2 linked regions of the Rattus norvegicus genome follow. The protein of the gene in region 1 binds, or shares a complex with, the protein of each later gene. Links are inferred from orthologs where the notes say so. Each region holds a gene or a part of one and is shown on either strand. Other genes may lie near its edges.

The links.
Region 2: the proteins of Ctsk (region 1) and Cst3 are in contact, whole or in part, in a crystal structure (PDB 8V57), measured with the Mus musculus proteins. The link is inferred for Rattus norvegicus from reciprocal best matches to the Homo sapiens genes CTSK and CST3. Residues at the interface, in NP_031828.2 of Mus musculus: Asn132, Gln133, Gly134, Gln135, Cys136, Gly137, Cys139, Trp140, Glu173, Asn174, Tyr175, Cys177, Gly178, Gly179, Gly180, Tyr181, Met182, Ser248, Ala251, Ser252, Gln257, Phe258, Val274, Asn275, His276, Ala277, Ser297, Trp298, Ser301, Trp302; in NP_034106.2 of Mus musculus: Pro27, Arg28, Met29, Leu30, Gly31, Ala32, Pro33, Gln75, Leu76, Val77, Ala78, Val80, Asn81, Tyr122, Pro125, Trp126, Lys127, Thr133.

Annotation. Positions count from the first base shown.
Region 1 is NC_086020.1:185,750,279-185,754,085, forward strand, and holds part of Ctsk (cathepsin K precursor), read left to right. Parts: intron 1-297; exon of another isoform or gene 298-1,655; intron 1,656-1,702; coding exon 1,703-1,921; intron 1,922-3,807. UniProt on the Homo sapiens protein: Thiol protease involved in osteoclastic bone resorption and may participate partially in the disorder of bone remodeling. Displays potent endoprotease activity against fibrinogen at acid pH. May play an important role in extracellular matrix degradation.
Region 2 is NC_086021.1:156,790,928-156,795,530, reverse strand, and holds the start of Cst3 (cystatin-C precursor), read left to right. Parts: upstream 1-1,593; 5' UTR 1,594-1,662; coding exon 1,663-1,887; intron 1,888-4,217; coding exon 4,218-4,331; coding exon of another isoform or gene 4,332-4,448; exon of another isoform or gene 4,449-4,603. UniProt on the Homo sapiens protein: As an inhibitor of cysteine proteinases, this protein is thought to serve an important physiological role as a local regulator of this enzyme activity.

The sequences.
Region 1 (3,807 bases):
GATTTTTTTTTGGGGGGGGTTCTTTTTTTCGGAGCTGGGGACCGAACCCAGGGCCTTGCGCTTCCTAGGCAAGCGCTCTACCACTGAGCTAAATCCCCAACCCCTTTTTTTGATTTTTAAAACCACATTTACTAGCTCACATAAATATTTTGAGAACAAATATATCTATCTTCCCTTTCTGATTCCTCAACATAATTTGTCATAGGTTTTAGTAAATAAACTACAATAAATATCTAAGAGAAAAATGAATTTTAAAAACATGAAAAAATGAACAGCCAGATATGACACCAACAGCAATGTTTTTTTAAAGTTGAGCCATTGATTTGCAACTGTTATTAAAATCAACTTTGCTTATAAAAAGCAAGATTTGTAATTCGATCGTGATTTGTTTGGATAACAGCTGAACTTTTACATTAAACATTACAAAGCCTCAACTAAGGGACAAGTAAAACACTCAGACTTGAGCTTGCACTTTCACAAGGGACAATGACGTCATATCAGTTCACATTAGTACCATGGTCCAGAACACTTTCCACTTCACTTCTATTTTGCCACTGCCCAGCGGGGCTCCTAGTGGGAGTTGGCATAGAGTCTGTTCTTGATGAAGACAACACTAGACAGATGCTGCCTGATGTCTGGGTAATGTTGAATGTGGCAAAACCAGCGAGACACATTAAGATATTTCTCCTTTTCTTGAACTCTCATCAACTATAAAGCGGTGGAACCCGTAGTACAGGAGGATGTCCGCCAGGGTAGTGTTATGTCCTGCAAGGTAGATTTTGTCTTCCAGATAGGAGTTGAGATCCTTCAGCAGAGTCTGGTGTCTTCTTTGTGGTGTGTCCATCTACTCGAGTGATCCTGAACTCTAACCACTGCTGAACTAGTGCCTTTTCTTCTGCAGTGCTCCCCAGCAAGTGCTCCCTGTTGGCTTGCTTGACCAGATGGGTTGCAATGGTGCTCAATCTCATTAGACTGGGGCCATTGTTTGACTGTAGGACTGGAACCTGTCATTCGCCCTGAGTGCTGTACTTATTCCCCGGCTTCAGTCCCAGACTCTTCTCTAGAAGCCTCAGCTCCAAGGCGGCCGCCATCTTCTGGCCCAGCTCCTGGGGGGGAGAAATTCTCATTCTTAAGAAGTAGAATCTCAGAAAGAGAAAGGTCTGCAATCCAGGAGAGCAAACGCTAATGGTAGCCGCACTTTCTGAGAGATTGCTGTGCGTAAGTCGCGTCTGCAGTTCTCATGTGAATGGAGTCTCTCGGGGCACACAGGAATCTCATTAACTTTAGTATCACTCACTTTCTTGTTCTTTTGAGGCAAGGTCTCTTGCCCAGGTTGGCCTCCAACTTAGTTTATGACTGAGTTTTTGGTCTCCGTTCTGTTGCCTCCACCACTTAAGTGATGGAGTTACATGTATGTACCACCAAGTCCAACTTACTCTCATTTTAAAGGTGAGGAGACTGAGGCCAAGTCAGGGTTAGAGTTTAGAAGGACTGTCTCCAGAGCTGTACTGTAAAGTCCCCACTATACGTCAGTTAAAGGAGTCAGTGGTCACAATTTTCATCAGCAGGGACAGTAACTGGGCTTTACAACAAAGAGCACTTGTGCCTGACATCATAAAGTGCATGAAGTCTTATCAGGGTAACAGAAAGACACACCCTCTGTGAAGGATGATGACTGACAGTTCCTCTGTATGTTTCTCAGGGCCAGTGTGGTTCCTGTTGGGCTTTCAGCTCTGCGGGTGCCCTGGAGGGCCAACTCAAGAAGAAAACTGGCAAACTCTTAGCTCTGAGTCCCCAGAATCTTGTGGACTGTGTGTCTGAGAACTATGGCTGTGGAGGCGGCTATATGACCACTGCCTTCCAATATGTGCAGCAGAATGGAGGCATTGACTCTGAAGACGCTTACCCGTATGTGGGGCAGGTGAGACCACCGCAGTGTGCAGCCCTATGCTGCGTCTTCCCCTGACATGGTTCTGTTTTCTCTTACTGTATCCTGCCCCCCCTTTTCCTTTTAATTTGAGACAGTATCTTACTATGTATCCCAAGCTAATCAGCTAGGTATCCTAGGCTGCCCCCCTTTTTTGAGAGAAGGTCTCAGGTAGCCCATATTGTCCTTGAACTCACTATGTAGCTGAAAACAACCCTGAATTTATCTTACCTCAACTTCCAAGTGCTGGGGTCACAGGCCTGGGTTCCAGACATGGCTGTCCTGCTTTCTTTCTTTTTTTTTTTTTTCTGTCCTGCTTTCTTTTTTTTTTTTTCTGTCCTGCTTTCTTAATAGAATTATTTGCTGTAGAAAGCCAAAATTCTCATCATCTTGGAAGACTTTGAGCCACCTCTTCAGCCCTGTGATGAAGAATTCCTGGTGATATGAACCTTTGAGAGAGGAGCTGCACGTTTCAGTGGTGAAAATGCAGTGTGAAAGTGTGCACTCAGTCAGTGGTGAGAATGTAGTGTGAAAGTGTGCACTCAGTCAGTGGTGAGAATGCAGTGTGAAAGTGTACACTCAGTGTGTTTTCCTAAAAGGGCAGCTGCTCGCTAATACTTAAGGAGATGTCACACGTACTGCCATACGTACCCAAACTAAGATTTCATAAAGTTTGTTAGTGTGTAACTGTATGAATGGTGTACGTGTGTGTCCAGGTGGGCTGTACCATAGCATGCGTGTGAAGTAGAGAAAACTCTGTGGACTCTCTCCTTTAGGTCCTGAGGACCAAACTCTAGTCATCAGGCTCATTTAGCTAAAGTCTTACCAGCTAAGCCACCTTGCCAGTACCCCCAACAGGATGCCCAGGTCTGCTTATCTGCGCAGCCTTTCTTCCCATGCCCCCGTGTGAGATGGAATCCAGGGGACATTACTTTGCAACATAGTCACCTGGGTGTGGAAGCGTGTGTATCTTTACATTCACTATGTAATGCCAAACTGTTGCCAGAAACTACTCCTGCCTGCCGTCTGTAAGAAATCCCCTGACACACAGTCACATCTTCATCAGTATTTCCCTGGTCATCTGTACTTCTTCTAAACTGATAATGAGGCCCAGTGTGGATGCCGGGAATTCCAGCACATGGGAGGTAGAGGTGGGAGGATTAGGAGTTCACAGTCACCCTAAGCTACCTGGGGAATCTGAATGTAGCCTCTCTGAACAGAGAATGGGATAAAACACCAAAACCCAAAATAGAAAATACAGACCCTCTAAGTAAAGTCTAATCTGCTCCCTGTTGATTTACTGACATTATTAAATATATTTCCCACTCAACAATTTAAGGATAGATTTGAGAAAAGTAATACCAAATTCACTTAACAAATGACAGCTTACGTCTTTTTAGAAGATTTTTTTATGTATATAAGGGTTTTGCCTGGCATGTATATATTATGTGTTTCCCTGGCGCCCCCAGAGGTTAGAAGGACATTCGATCCCCTGGAACTGTTGTCACAGATACCGTGTGGTGCTGGGAACCAAACCTGGGTTCTCAGCAAGAAATGGTACTTGTCAGGGCTGCCCTTCTAGCTCAGCTCACATGATTTATCCAACACTACACTGTTTGCTGAAAAATAGTTTCTATGTCCTGGTATGCGTGTGTGTGTGTGTGTGTGTGTGTGTGTGTGTGTGTGTGTGTGTGTGTGTGCCCATGATATTATTGTCCAGATTGGCCTGGACTCACAGAGATCCAGCTGCTCTCCCTTCTAAGTGGTGGGGTCAAAGTCCGCAACATGCCAGGCCCTGATTTTCTTTTAAGTCCATTCCTTTATTTCATTTGTGCCTTTCTCTCCCCAACCCCCCTTCTCTTTTGAGACCATGCAATGCC
Region 2 (4,603 bases), on another chromosome or scaffold:
TGGAGGAGTGGCCCATACCTTCATTCCTGATGGGTCTGCATCCTTTGCCATCCTGCTTGGATTAGCCTGTTGCAGTTTCCCATTGACTTTAATCATAGGACATGGTAGTACCAAGAGATGGCCTAAGGGATCTCCTTCACTCCAGAAATAATCCTTCTCACCTCCATTGTGGAGAGGCAATCCAATTTCCCCATGGTAATCCAGATTTATCACCCCTCCTAACACTGCTATTCCTTTCTTAGCCTGTTGGCTAAGAAATGACCAGGGGGGAGTCTGAGCTTCCAGTTCAATGGAATGTTTGTTGTGGCTCCTGGTAGGAGCACTCCCCGCTCTAGAACCAAAACTTCTAGGCCAGCAGAACCTAGAGTTGTGGGGACAAGAAGCAAAAATTTTCCTAGAGGATCAAGGATAGTCAAGTTGACAACCAGGAATAGCTACTACAATAGGTTAAATAAAACTTATTAAAGTATTCAATGCTTGGATTTTGGTGTAACTGGTTTGTTTGTTTGTTTGTTTGTTTGTTTTGGTGTCAAGTGCCTTTTTATTTCTTTATTTTATTGGATGATTTTATTTACATTTCAAATGTGACCCCCATTCCCGGTTTCCTGTCCGTAAACCCACGATACCATCCCTCCTCCCCCGTCTTGTATGAGGGTGTTCTCCCACCCAACCACCCACCCCTTCCCTCCTCCCTTCCCTGAACAGGGTCTCACTGTGTAGCCCTTGCTGGCATGGAACTCCAGATGTAGACCAAGCCGGGCTTGAACTAACACAGATCTACCTGTTTCTGCCTCCCAAGTGCTGGAATTCAAGCCATGAGCCACCACACCCAGCCTCATATTGTAGTTTTAAACCTATTAGAAAGCATTAAAAAACACATGGGTTCGCCTTACATCATTATACTGGGCAGCCTATTGTAATATCCATTCAGGGCTTGGCCACCTGTGGTGTCTCCAGTGCCTACGGTGGGCTGGTTCAGAAAGAAGCCTAGGATGGTTTCTTTAAGGATAAGGAGTAGTTACACAGAATGCCACACACCTCCCCGCTCCCCAAGATCAATTCATTTTCCTTTAATAAGTATCTTAGGACCAGGCCTGCAGGAAACTGAAATAACAGCCCTGCTCAGAGTGATCCTGCTCTCTATCAAGTGATCAAAGCTGAACTCTGAAGATCTGGGAAATCAAAGACTGGCTGCCCTTTTCCTTTCTGGAGAAACAGAGTTCGGATGTCATGGACATTTTAGGGTCCGGAGAGCAATGACTTCTCTGTTGAAACCAGACTGCAAGAAACAGGGAACTGAAGAGTGAAAGGGGAAGCTGTGGAAGAACGGCCTGAAGAAAAGGAACTGGGAAGAACAGAAAGCTAAAAGTGAAGAAGGAAGGAAAAGCCAGGAAGGGGGGAGGCTCAGCGGGAGATGGGCGAGGGAGTGGTAATGGGAGCTATCTGACTTGGGCAAAAGCAGACTAGAAGCTGACAGAAGACAGAGGGCGGGGCAGTTCGGAGGAGGAGGCGGGGCCAGGAGTAGGGCTAGAGGGCAGACGGAAAAGGGAGGGTGGCCGCCGGAAAAGGAGGAGCCAAGAGAGGAGGGCTGGTCTCTATCTCTCACAATTGGGTAAAAGCCGCGCTGTCCTCTCCTCTGCACCGACTCTGTCCTGCGGAACCATGGCCAGCCCGCTGCGCTCCTTGATGCTACTGCTGGCCGTCCTGGCCGTGGCCTGGGCCGGAACCTCCAGGCCACCCCCGCGATTGTTGGGAGCTCCGCAGGAGGCAGATGCCAGCGAGGAGGGCGTGCAGCGAGCGTTGGACTTCGCCGTAAGCGAGTACAACAAGGGCAGCAACGATGCGTACCACAGCCGCGCCATACAGGTGGTGAGAGCTCGTAAGCAGGTACGTGTCCCCGCTGTTCCCTGCTCTCCAGAAGTCTCCAAACCGCTTCCACCCAGGCTCCCCTGGCTAGGGCGCGGTTTGCAACTGCAGGGACTTAGTCAACTGCTTTGCTTCTCTTGGGAGCGTGGTCCTTCCCTTCTTCTCAACCCTCCTCAATGTGTTAACAGGGTCATTCCTCTTTTGTTTATATTGGAACCCAGAAGAGCACAACGTGTGGGTACCTGTCCTCCTAGCTCTATTTCCAAAAGACCACTGAGCGAGCGGGGTACTAAAAGATGTAGGTCAGAGGCTGCCTGGGTTCAGTTCGCCACCATTATCCACCTGGGGTCAATGTCAACTGCTAATGACCTGGGAGAAGGATAAATAATTCTCATTGAATAAGCGCCCTACTTGAAACTTTCTGACAGACAGGCAGATTTCGTCCCATCCTTCCAGTAAATACTTGGCCCTGTTTGTTCCCACCTCTTTGCTCTACTCAGGAGCATATGTACCTGGGTGGGTGTTTAGAGTCACTCATTCTTGTGAATACTTTCAGAGTAAACACTTCCCGAAAACAAGGGCATTCTCTACATACCAAAGATTCCATTTGGAAAATTGGGAATCCACAGATACTCAGTTCCTAAACTCAAAGCCTCACTTAGTTTGCTGGTCACCATTGTGGACTCTCCTAGCAAGAGCTATTTCTATGCGGTCTGGCAGCCTGGTTGTTTTGTTTTGTTATGTTTTTTCTGAGCACTGCCTGCGCTGCCTTGCTGTTCTTAGCAATGTGGAATGGTCCAGACAGCTGTGGTGATCAGTCCTCTGCCACTTGCTGAGGTTCCTTTTAGTCATGACTCGGTTTGTGACAGGGTGGTCCTCAAAGGTAAATGACCCTGTGATGGATACTGCAGCCATATTGGCTTCTACCTGTGCTTTTTGATTCTCCACAGTGTTCCCAGGGCACATTTCTCAGAAGGGGCCCCTATCCTTAAGAGACACGTGATTGTAGACTGGCACTGAGTCTCTTGACTCTAATGTTGGTGCAGGTCACCAAGCAGGTCCCCTCTTGAGTCTTCTCTGAGGTTCTGTCTAGCTTCCCGCTAGTTGTGACCCTGGAAAGTCCTTGGGAGCAGCCTCAGGGGCTTTGCTAATTGCCCCCAAGATAAGCACAAATCACCCTCCTCCCACTGAGTAGAAGGAGACTACCTTAGATCTAGACTCTGACAGAGGAACTAGCAGCCAGAGCTCATAGGTCTCAAAGTTGACCCAAGAGAGGGCCAGATTTTAGACCACAAAGGGTTGTATCCCAGTGGATAAAATTCATTTCTACCTTCCCTTAAAAATACAAAGAAGTTAAATCCTGCTCTATTTCTGCTGCTGCTGTGATCAACCTTCAGAAAAGTCATCTACTTCCCAGCTGCCTTGGACCTCAATGGCCAGTGCACCTCTTAATTGTGGCAACAGATGGAGCAAAGTGTAGGGAGTTATAGGTTATTGGGTCTGTGGGTCTCGTTTGACTGGTAGGAAAATCAGGACATTCCCCAAATCAAGAGCTATGTTTCTGGTCCCACAGGGCAATACACAGAGCCCTGCCCATACCTCCCACCTAGGTCCCTCAGTCTGCAGTCTGTCCTTACATTTCTGACAAGTTGGTCTAGCATGCCCCATTCTGGGGAGAGGGACAAGTGCTATTCTTAAATTGCAAGTGGAAGACCTACAGGTGAATGATATGCTTGAGGAAATTCTGGAGAATCTTACTGAAGGACAAGACATTTAAGGGCTGTCTTTCCTCTGACTTGAAACATCCCTGTGTGTGAAGCATCCCATGTCCTCTTGTCCCTGGAAGGAGGGAGTCTTGGGTAAATAAATGTGTTCTCTCCAGGTTGCACAATAAATGGAGAAGGTCTGGCTCTCCTCCAGTGGCAGTGTCTAAGCCTGAGGAATGACAGTCAGCAGGACTGAGTTAATCCCGTGCTGCCCCCAAAGCCTTTGCTTATGCTCAGAACAATCCTAGGCTCCTAGAACGCCCTGGCTGTCTTTCCCCTGATGCTTTCCTTTCTGACTCTCTGAAAGGTTTGTCAGTCTGAGCTTTTGCCTTTTGTGCTCTGTTTCTCCTCTTACTCAACTACATGTGATACCCTTGTCAGAGTTGCTCAAAATAAAAGAATTACTAACAGCCTGAGGCCACGTGTCTGGAAGATTTGGCTTGTATTCTCTGTGGGTGAGATTTCTGGCTGCTTGTGAATCCAGGCATAAGTCCTAGGTAAACACTTCAGGTCTGCGATGGAAGGCAGCTAGCTGTGTGTAAATGATTTGACTGGACTGTTGAATCCTACTCTTTTTCACTGTAGCTTGTGGCTGGAATAAACTATTATTTGGATGTGGAGATGGGCCGAACTACATGTACCAAGTCCCAGACAAATTTGACTAACTGTCCTTTCCACGACCAGCCCCATCTGATGAGGGTATGTACTTGTTATTGTCCTAAGGGCAATCATACGGGCAACGGTTTTGATAAGTATTACATTGTGTGGGGGAAGTGCATGAGTAGGGAATGGTGGTTCATGAATGGATACAGGTGAATGTTGGGCACATGTATGTTCATGCCAATGCAATGTGTGTGCCCATGTAGGGGAAGGGTTTATGTACACATGATTAATTTAATTGCCAAATGAATTTATCCTGGGAATTGGGGTATTGATGTACAGTTATCCCTACTGAACTAGAGGCAACTACA